Neodiprion lecontei: one gene and its partner. The main gene of each other region encodes a partner of the protein of the gene in region 2 in a complex. Links are inferred from orthologs where the notes say so. Each region holds a gene or a part of one and is shown on either strand. Other genes may lie near its edges. The genes, in order: ciliogenesis and planar polarity effector 2 and protein fuzzy homolog.

Region 1 (5,283 bases), on a different chromosome or scaffold from region 2:
ACTCTCTTCATGTTTCTAAATTCTAACTGCGGATCGTGGAACTTGAGTCACTTGAAGGTAAACTTGATAAGCCAACAGCCAAGATTAACTACGGCGCTTCACTTAAGCTTTTGAACGACTTTCAGGCCCTTGATATTTGGTTTCTGATCTGTCTGGTTCTAATCCTCATACCGCTGGCCGAGAGCATCCTAATTCATCATCTAAATCCGGCAGATGTGGATAATTTCGGCTGCAACGAGGTGGAGGATTCTAAGTCTAAGCTTAAAGTCTGAGCTATATTAAACTCCGTTTTCTTTTACAGAACGAGCACGAGGCTGGTAAAAAATGGATCGTTTGGATGGAGAAAGTTATATCGTTTCTGCATCCGTTAGGCTTGCTAATTTCGACCCTCATATTTTTCACGGCATTCAACGGCGAAGGGGAAAATATTTATACGATCAATTGGTGAGAGTAAGTGTATAAATTTTATTTGTTTAAATTTTTCTACCCAGCGTTTTATACGTTATGTTGTTTCTATTTCAACGGTTTTTTTTCTTTTTAGGACGGATCCAACAGTCATTGGGACCAAAAACGGTTAAACTACAATTGCAGGTTTTGTGTGATTGTTGTAATAAAATCTTTATCTTTTCGGTCGAATCAAACTTGTACGACTTGTTTGGATATAAATTCTTGGTCTCTGTCCCAAAGCGCCGAACAAATCCAGTTCAGCTGATAGGAGCAATCGAAGATTTCGGGTCTCGCCACCGCCTTGTTGGTATCTATTCTTATCACTTTCACTTTCCACTTGTCTTCGAATTCCTTGACCTGCACATCGGACACGGCGAGCGTCGACCAAACCTTGTACCTGCGTAAATCGAAACTGAAATTGTTTAAACACTCTTTGATTCGTTATTTCTGCTTCTTTGTTTTTTTTTCCTCGGATTTATACTATCAAATTATCTGACAAATAAACGATATCGTCACCTTGTTCCGACCACGATGCTAGCTGGTTTTTCTTTCGTCGCTGCCATTGAGTTCATCAGCTGTGGAAGGTCGTTGAAAGTCGCCGTATCGTCGAAGGAAAATACACTGCAAATCGCGTCGACTTTGTCTTTGCAGGCCTGCAGGTTGCAAAAAAAAAAAAAAACAAAAAGAGAAATGAATAAACGATTAAAGTGATGTGCGGTGATATTTTCACGATATTTTAGGCGATCGAAATCGATTAATCGATTAAATATATACATATAATATTAAAGTATACCAACGGGTAAAATGTGGCTGTACTTTTTGATGCTGTTCTCAGATGCGTCCCAGAATTGCAATTTGAACAGTACAACCTTGTCCCATATTTTAACAGGCCAGAATATCGTCGTTCTTTTTATACCGTTCGTTTCGACGTAAACTCCGCTCGACGATGATCCTTTTATTCCGGAAAGACGCGACACGACGCAAGTCTTCCCGACACCCGATTTTCCTGCCATGAATATTTTGTACGAGACTTCTTCTATCGACGATGGTATCGGTGGTCTTTCCAATATACCTGCACGGTTTTAAATTATTCAGATCGAAATTTTTATGTGTAACGTGAAAAATTTTAACTGATTATGTTAGGAACAAGGTTTAGTGTAATAGAATTGATATTAGAATATTTTAGATACGAATAGTTTTATTGTAGTATGATTTTTTTAGTTTTTTTCAAAAATACAGTTTTTGTGAACAAATATCAGGTTGTATATGGTGTTACAGTACACTGGTCAACAAAACTTTGTACCTTTTTTGATTAAGATTGTTTTGCTATTTATTGTAATTAATTAACTGGCGTTTATAGTAAGTAACAAAATGCTCTGAATAGCTGTAACACAAAATCTAGACCTGATTGATTCAAAGTATATATGGTTTTATAACGATGAGGGTAGATAGGTATTTCAAAATCAGTAAGCATCTTCCTTGTTGTTATAAAAAAAATTATTGGCAAGTGTAATTAGACGTTGTGTATGTTATGCCCATTAATATTTAATATGTATAACCTTCGTACCGTAAAATCGTCTCTTATTAGTCGAACGAGCGTAAAAGTGATGCAGTAACGACTCGCCTTCGGCGGAGCTGAGCCAGTCCATTTTTATCGCGTTACTCATTTTACAAAGGAGATTGAAAAATCAGCTTTTAATTTTCTCCCTCACTTTGCTGCGGATGTGTCAATGTAAACAGAAAAAAAAATCCATTTCTAGATTACATATAATATTCTAGTTTGGAATTGAGATAAAAGTAGAGGTGAAAAAATTGTCTCAATTATGTTTTTGAAATTTTTGTAAGAATTTACTCAATATTTTCTGTGATACGAGATAATTTTCAACCATCTGATGAAATCATTCCAATATCAACCGCCCATATTTATATTTGTTACGCACACGTGGCGATAAGCTACTTTATAGATAATACGATAAAACGTCCATTCGTTACAATTGTACCTATCGAAAGTGTTTACAGTTCAATGACACAGCGGTCGCAAATATGATTACATAATTGTACACCGGCGATTTGAATATTTACAACAGCTTTTCCTCATGTTATCATACCGGTAGCTGACAATTCGATATCGTTGAGCAACAATCGACACCGCATTCACTGGATATAGTGAAGTATAGTACTTTTCAAGTATGAATCCGGAAACTTGATCTAAGTGTAATTCGAATCGAATGCTTGATTTTCGGTTTTTTCTCCCTTATTTCTGAAAATACGAAGACGAAGATAGGATACTTTTCAAGATTTTTTATTTTTTTTTCCCATCAACTTTTGTCTGACTTATTTTCTGACAAAGTTATTAGGTTCCGATTTTTACGGTTTAAACTTTTTTTTCTACAATAATCTCGGCGGTTGATTGCAAAATTATTATCACCATTTGATTCAGCGTCATCGAATTACCCTTAGATCAAGTTTCCGGCTTAATATGAAAAAGTGGTAACTTTCATGCTTAATTTATTTACTGGTCTATTACATGCACGTGTGCCGCGTTGCGTTACGCTGATAAGCGGGACAAAGTCGAGGATGCCGAATTCTATCGACGGGCCTTCTAAACGCACCAGGAAACCTTAAACGCTTTTAGTCTAATCGCGTCGAGCGAGTGACGCGCATAGTCGTTTAAATCCAGGCGTCGCGTCGAATCGTCATGGACGACGTTCAGGCCCCGAAAGTCAACGGAAAAGTCGAGCGGGTCGTTAAACCCCCGCCGGATTACGGTTTTAAGTTAAAACTCAACCACAAGTACCCAGAAAAATGGAAACAAGCTGCAACCGTGCGCCTCAAGCAACTTCCTCAGCTTTTGCCGCTCGCCTACAGGTTCGTTCGATGCTTTGCATCTTCCAGTCAATTATTTATAACGTGAACAACGCGGTATCTAGTCGCGTAAGAAACGCCCCGAGTAAACATGCGCACAACTCATTGCGCACCCGACTCGCTCGTTTATTCAGATTGCACGACGTTAGCGCGTGAATTCGAATGGCGGGAAATTCGAACGGAGTTTGAATATTTGAAATTCAACGTTTCAGGAATAGTTTTTTCCAGCACATTTTTTTTTTTCGTTTATCCGATTTAAATGTCGAATGATAGATTTTCAAAACGTTTCTGATGGTATTTGAACGGTTCGAATTAGAAAACATCAAGAGCTTATCGATTTTTGGATTTCTAAAACATGGAATTCATATTTTACTGTATGAAACGCTTAGGTTGTTAATACTCTTCATTTTTTAAATTCTATATCACGTCGGCAAACTATTAAAGGAAATCCGGATCTACCGCAGTCCGAATGTAGGAATTGATATTAGATTTTCTGTGAACTGATTCGGTACTGAATTTCAAACTGATAATTTGTATTTAAAAATCAATCAATCGTCCCATCTGGATAATGAAAACGCGAACATTAGCGAATCATTGAGTTTTTATTAATTTTTCATTGCCATTTTTGCAGGTATGTCTCGTTTTTCGCAAGGACAACGAGAGGAGGTCGAAGACCAATGATGGATTACGTAAATATGCAGACTGGAAAACAGATTTACGGTGAGAAAAGCGAATTCTTCATCTTGTTTTACCTCAGGTTTTTCTTATGTTTCTTCACTCCGTGATATTTAAGATGTACCCGGAACTCATTGTCTAGTCTGTACTCAATTATCAGATCGAAAAATTATACACGCAGGTGTACCAATCGGCGGAATTGGAGGTGGGTCGATGAATCGCGGGTTCAGAGGCGAATTCTGCAGATACAGTTTGCGACCTGGTATATACGAGTACGAAACTGTTCTGGCCAATCAATTCATCCTCACGATTCAAGACGCCACCGGAAAAACTGTTTACCATCAAGTTCTGTCGACCGAGAGGTGATATTATTAATATCCTAAAATAAATATTTATCACCCCTGGCGAAAATTTCTACTACTACGACTTTACGCAGAAATTGGAACATTTCGTATTATTTCGTACAAAATTGTAAATATGCATAGTTTTTCATGAAGAATTATTAATTTTGTTTAAAAATTGTGTCATTTAGATTTTTTCACTAAAAAAATACAAATCTTCATTCAAATCTACAAGATTTTATGAGAAACTATGCATACTTACAATTTTGTAAAATTATACGTACTGTTACAAATTCTCTAAAAATTCGTAGAAAATTGTAGAAATCATTTTCACCAGGGACGTTATGAAAAAAGAAAATTTTGTAGAAAAATGTTGACGTTCAATTCAATTTTTCAAATTTTTGTAGCGAAACTATCCGTTGACACACCTGTCTGACCGTATTTATTATTTTTAGCAAACCGAAATGCCTGAAGTCTTGGAAATGGGGATTTGACGGTTCGAAAGCCTCGTATACGGGGCTTTACCCTCGTGCTTGGACAACCTACGATATAGAGGATCACAAAGTTAGATTAACGTGTCGTCAAGTGTCTCCGGTGATACCGAATAATTACAAAGACAGTTCACTGCCTTGCGCTGTCTTCATTTGGGACGTTGAAAACCGCTCCGATCAGGATCTCTACGTCAGTGTCACGTTCACGTTCAGGAATGGTAACGGAAACAAAATCAGCGACAAGGAAGGTTCGTGAATAATTCAAGTTATTCGAAACAATCATCTTTACGTGTCACAGTATAGATTTTCACTCTCTGAAACCGGGAACAATACAAAATTCCATCACGTCAGGTTTTTTCTCGAACTCGCGTTTGTAGTTTTATTTACAGTGAAACTCCCTTTTAACTAAAAATATGGTATATTATTCTTGATTAGAAAAGTTTTATGCAAAAGTGATTTCTTAC
Region 2 (4,895 bases):
AGCTCGATGCTTTCCGCCTGCGGGCAGGCAATCTATTGTACACGCATGCATATTATATGTCATTATCAATCAGGCACTATGTCCAGTATCTTGGGCCATGATTAATAATGCAAAATCCGCATCGACGCCTTTATGTACCGGACACACAGCCGTGCGGATTGTTGTTCTCAGATGCAAATCATTTCTAGATACATGGGTAAGGTGGCAAAATGTGCCCAGCGAAAACCAATAAGTCGAGAGATCAGAACAGATTTAAAAAATCTGCAGTTTCTCAAATTTAATGACAATAAGAGGGTTCGATAGCTCACGGTTACAGAACACAATATAAAGACTAACTAAAAAAATTCAGAAACATTGAGGTAATGTTTTATCCTCAAAAATCAATGAATATATAGTGAAGAGCCAGGATACACGGTCCCCGTACATTAAAAATTATTTTTGAGCTGAAACAAAACAAATTGTTATTTTGAAATTGCTTGAAAAGCGTGTTTACGTCAAGAAGCCCATATTATTCAAAATGTAGTGTCACAACTAATTTCATACTATGTTTTTGATCTATTGGTATAAAATTTGATTCTTATTATATAAGATAAAATTATGTTTTTTTCCATACAAAAATATATTCTCCAGTTTTCTGATACTACAAGTATGTAACGTTCTAATGTGGTCAAGTATCTATATAATTCTATTTATTCACTAGGCTTATTTTCAGAAATTATTATTATAAAAATATTAACAGCTGTATAATATGTTATAGTCGAATAATCGATGTCGTTATATAATTAAACAAAAACAGTTTCAAGAAACTGCTACCAAAAAACTTGTTTATCAGCAAGGAGCGATTTGAGAGTTTTTTGGGAAAGAAGTCTCATCGTATGTGTAGGAACTATGGACGTATATAATACGCAAAAGACATACTCGCCCTCTTTGAGAGCATGACATTTGTGAAACTCTGAACACCAGTAAGTTTCTTTAGCACCTTCGAATACCTGCCCGTGTTTCGACTTCGACGGCTTTACCGACTTGTCGATTTCTTCAGTATCTCGATTCGAAGACGGGCCGGAAAGCAAAAATGTTTCCACAGCTTGATAGTAAAATGTTCTTAAAATATCCAATCTATGTGTTCCACTGACTCGGTTCTTCGAGTTTTGGGAATTCCGACTCAGAACAAATTTTCCTATCACATGATTGGCCAACAAAAATCTGGAATCGAAAAAATTTTTAATAAACCCTATATCTCTGGTTCCTTTCCGTCAGGGGCAAAGTTTACTACTGTCAACTCTACTATAATTATCTTCAGATTATTTTACCCTAATATCTCAGAATCCAATGATACACTGGCAGGAAAATTTCTGGGATAGCATTGCTCGGCAGCTCGCAGAATGTCTATACTACTCCGCCAACTCTGAATAGCCAATCGTTCCGTTTCGGCCAACTCGGGTGTTGGTCCACACAAAGCTAGAACTTCAACGTGATTCACCAGAGTAACAGAGACCAATCTGAAGGCGACCTGAAATCAATAATTTTTTTCTTAACTGTAAGGCTGATCAATTTAAACATCTATTGAAGATTTTAGATGCCATTTCGCGTAGGCACTTCATTTCTAAATATTTAAATGATCGTCTCATACATTCGGACTCTTATTTGGAAGGAATACTGGAAGATCTCTCGCTGTGCAAGTTCCATCACAAGTTGCTGCAATTATTAGTAATTTCCTTTCAATTGGGTCCAAAGACCACCAACTCTCAGTCGCAACCGCCAAGCAGCCATGCACTAAAAGGCAGCCGTACAAAGAATCCAGACATTCCATGTACCCTTCAAGGCAGCTCTAGTACAAAACACAAACACAGAAATTATAATGATGGGCAATTAAATTTCTTGCATTTTAAAATGATCTGCGCATCACATCATCTTTTTTCTGGTTTTGTTCATATTACAGTCAAGTATTCAAATAGACTAATCTATAATCAAGTAGACCTGCTATTTCTCTCATAAGATAATTGACTGTGAAAAATTTCAAGATTTGTTTTTATGTTTGTTCAATCAATAAGCCAATCACCATGAAAAAATATAGAATTGTGAGATATTTTCTGCTGTTTACAAAGAACTTGTAGCTTTGATACCTGCAGTAAGTGATTCTCGGGACTCATAATACTGTCAGTCATATCGACCAAGTCAGTCTTGGCGCATATCCGATCTCCGATGTCTAAGCACTCCAGTAATCTGTCAATAATTGGATTGCATACACGCAGGTCTCGCTTTAGCCTCTCAACATTCCTTGGATTTTTTATTTCATCTATACCGACGATGAGGATCATCGCACTGAAAACAGCTTCTAGAAATCTGTTTAGAACATTGTTTGTTGTACCGCTGGCTATGGCTATCAGTAATATGCTATCCTCGAATTCTTTCCAGACAACATTCGTGTCCGGCATGTCTGTGCACAGTAGCTCAATGTTCTGGGACTTCAAAAACATGTGCACACCATTCAGCGATGCCATTTTCGAAAACGTTATCTGAAATAGTTTGACATGATATAAAAGTTGAATTTCTCCAATATCTTTGAAGATTAGAGCATTTCGTATACTTCAGTCATTTGCATAGGAACAAAAAAAACTTTGTTATAAAGGTAGAGAGATACAACTATAAAAATAAATCGATTCACAATTAATGTTGAAGTGTATTTTTGCATTCGCAGTGATTGAAATCTCTTACAGATTTTATACTGCAATGAAGTTTTGGGTTAAAAATCATTTATTGTACCATATCACCGTCCCCTTTTTTTCGGACAAAAACTGGTATTCCTCCGGAAGATGTTAAGCACAGTACATGAGCAGTCATTTTACAGCAAAAAAGAATTATAGATATGAGTTTTAGGTTTTAGGTACTTTAGCAAAGTTCTCACAGCCGTGAGTACCTGAAGTTTAATACCTGTGAACAGGGGAATGGGATCTGAACCAGCATGGGCAGGTAGATGGGCAGGTCATTAACCCATGATATACACAGATATAGGTATAGTATACACGAGTACAGAATGGGCCAAAGTTGCGAAAGTGGTAACTTGTGTATATTGATATGTAGAATGACGAATTAAAAGCTTTTGGATAAGCCTTTGTAATGTAACTTTGAAGGTTTCTCTCTGGCTGTACGGCCTAATTTTTTTATTAACAAATTTCAGGAAGTATAGCCCCTTTTCTAACAAAGCCAGTTGTACAGGAATGCGCATTACAAAAAGTCTGCCAAGATTCTACTTTTTCCATAGATATATGTATAAGTACATATAATTCATATTATTATACAAGTATAATACAGATTAAAATAATAAAATATACTCAGTTGTCTATAGATTTTTTCTACGTATTTAATGAATTGCTTTCTTATATTTATAAGATATTGAGATATGAGAAGACGTCAAACCTGAATTTGATACAATGAATATGTTTATACGATTTCTAAAGCGCTTCACTATGCTTAATTGGTTCTTATTTTTTGATGTTTGAACTTCATCAATACTTGGATAAGTATTTAAAAAAGCTGGCGTTATGTACGAAACGCTTTGTGACCGTTTCTTTCAACAACTGATTTCATGAAACATCATGCGGTACTGACGAAATTGTATGTAAATGTCCCTGACAGATATTCGGGTGTAAAATGACACTTATAATCAGAAATGACGTCTGGCTCTCTCACATTTTTTTTTTTGTTACTTCAGGGTTTCAAATCTCCCAAAATAGGGTAATCTAAGAAGCTCAGTTCAATATCTGACTTGAAATGTTCAAATACTAAAATTTCGTTTTGTCCTTTCTTAAGTAAAGGCGCTGGCAAGTAAAGGGTCCTTGTTGGTCCAAGGTGACAGTACCGCCCTAAATTGAAACCGTTTACAAATACCAAACCCTTTGTCCAACCACGCAAATCAATAAATGTATCCTGAGGTAAAGCTAAGTTTATGACGAATCGGGAAACGGACGGACCTCTAGTGCTGATAGAGGGCGGTCCCAGTTTCCAATTAGTTAGAGACTTTGCCCACTTAGAATCAAACTCAAGAGCATAGATTTCCCAATCTTTTAGCTCTTTGTCATCGACGTAAACTGGCCCTTGCCACAAACCTTTTCTCTGATCAAAATTAGCAAGGACACCAAAGTTGACACGTCCCCAATTTTCTACAATGATGTCCAAAGTTTTTTCCCCAGCTTTATCAGAATTCAATGTTAACTCAGCATCTCTAAAACAATTGATTCACATGTCAGTGTCTTATCAACTGAAAATACACGTTTTTTATTTGACCGGTAAGTGCTAAAACTCACTTCTGCATCCAATAACCAAAGCCATTAATATCTTCTTCAGTTTCTAGTGGTTTGCTCTTCAGCTCTCCGTCAACAAGCACCATTGCTGTGTCTTGCACATACCCAGAGATTTTCAGGGTAGACGCGGTTTTCAATGCAACCTTTTTCCGGTAGTTTATGTATCCGTAAGATTGGCCATTGCCATTTTTAATTGGCAAGTTTTCCATATTGGTCACATTGGATAATTTCACCTTCAAGTCTGCAGGCTGTAATACATAAGATATTTGAAAAAACCAGAGGCAAAAAAAGGGCAGGACGCAGGTTTCATTGGTAAAGAGAAAAATACCCACCAACTGATCAAGGATATCCTCAAAATCCAAATGACCGAATATTTTCAGAGTGGGATAAGCTACTTTTGATGATTCTGCAGGTAAATCTGGTAATTTGGTCATCACAGTTTGATGCTTTGCCAAAATCTCTTTGGTTTTATGATACTTCGGTGTGTAGTCTCCTGCTTCAGTTATTGGCGAATCATAATCTGGAAAAAAGTTTTGCAAAACGAATATTAAAGAAGGATTAAACGAAAGAATGTTTAAGAATTCATAAGTGAAT

What was found.
Region 1: the proteins of protein fuzzy homolog (region 2) and ciliogenesis and planar polarity effector 2 are in contact, whole or in part, in a cryo-EM structure (PDB 7Q3E), measured with the Mus musculus proteins. The link is inferred for Neodiprion lecontei from reciprocal best matches to the Homo sapiens genes FUZ and CPLANE2. Residues at the interface, in NP_081652.2 of Mus musculus: Arg26, Arg35, Ile109, Val110, Lys126, Glu127, Arg129, Ala130, Tyr132, Cys133, Asp136, Gln215, Ala216, Ala217, Arg218, Asp219, Tyr220, Pro221, Tyr223, Pro232, Leu238, Thr239, Leu240, Leu241, Arg242, Pro255, Leu256, Gly257, Gln258, Pro261; in NP_001074643.1 of Mus musculus: Glu36, Gly38, Leu39, Leu40, Glu41, Arg42, Val83, His84, His85, Glu86, Thr88, Gly89, Ile90, Gln91, Thr92, Thr93, Val94, Lys124, Phe125, Met128, Glu134.

Annotation. Positions count from the first base shown.
Region 1 is NC_060266.1:22,997,013-23,002,295, reverse strand, and holds ciliogenesis and planar polarity effector 2, read right to left. Parts: upstream 3,389-5,283; 5' UTR 3,316-3,388; coding exon of another isoform or gene 3,146-3,315; exon of another isoform or gene 2,975-3,145; intron 2,164-2,974; 5' UTR 2,115-2,163; coding exon 2,015-2,114; intron 1,520-2,014; coding exon 1,245-1,519; intron 1,240-1,244; exon of another isoform or gene 1,101-1,239; coding exon 964-1,100; exon of another isoform or gene 845-963; coding exon 637-844; 3' UTR 598-636; downstream 1-597. Other genes in the region: gamma-aminobutyric acid receptor exp-1-like, read left to right, coding at 1-57, 126-239, 302-448; non-lysosomal glucosylceramidase, read left to right, coding at 3,146-3,315, 3,944-4,032, 4,169-4,349, 4,784-5,067. UniProt on the Homo sapiens protein: Required for efficient primary cilia initiation, regulating a late step in cilia initiation. Plays a role in the final maturation of the mother centriole and ciliary vesicle that allows extension of the ciliary axoneme.
Region 2 is NC_060262.1:40,691,063-40,695,957, reverse strand, and holds protein fuzzy homolog, read right to left. Parts: upstream 2,906-4,895; 5' UTR 2,842-2,905; coding exon 2,764-2,841; exon of another isoform or gene 2,755-2,763; coding exon of another isoform or gene 2,716-2,754; intron 2,517-2,715; coding exon 2,124-2,516; intron 1,829-2,123; coding exon 1,631-1,828; intron 1,511-1,630; coding exon 1,311-1,510; intron 1,204-1,310; coding exon 810-1,203; 3' UTR 507-809; downstream 1-506. Other genes in the region: beta-galactosidase-1-like protein 2, read right to left, coding at 3,709-4,222, 4,305-4,549, 4,634-4,821. UniProt on the Homo sapiens protein: Probable planar cell polarity effector involved in cilium biogenesis. May regulate protein and membrane transport to the cilium.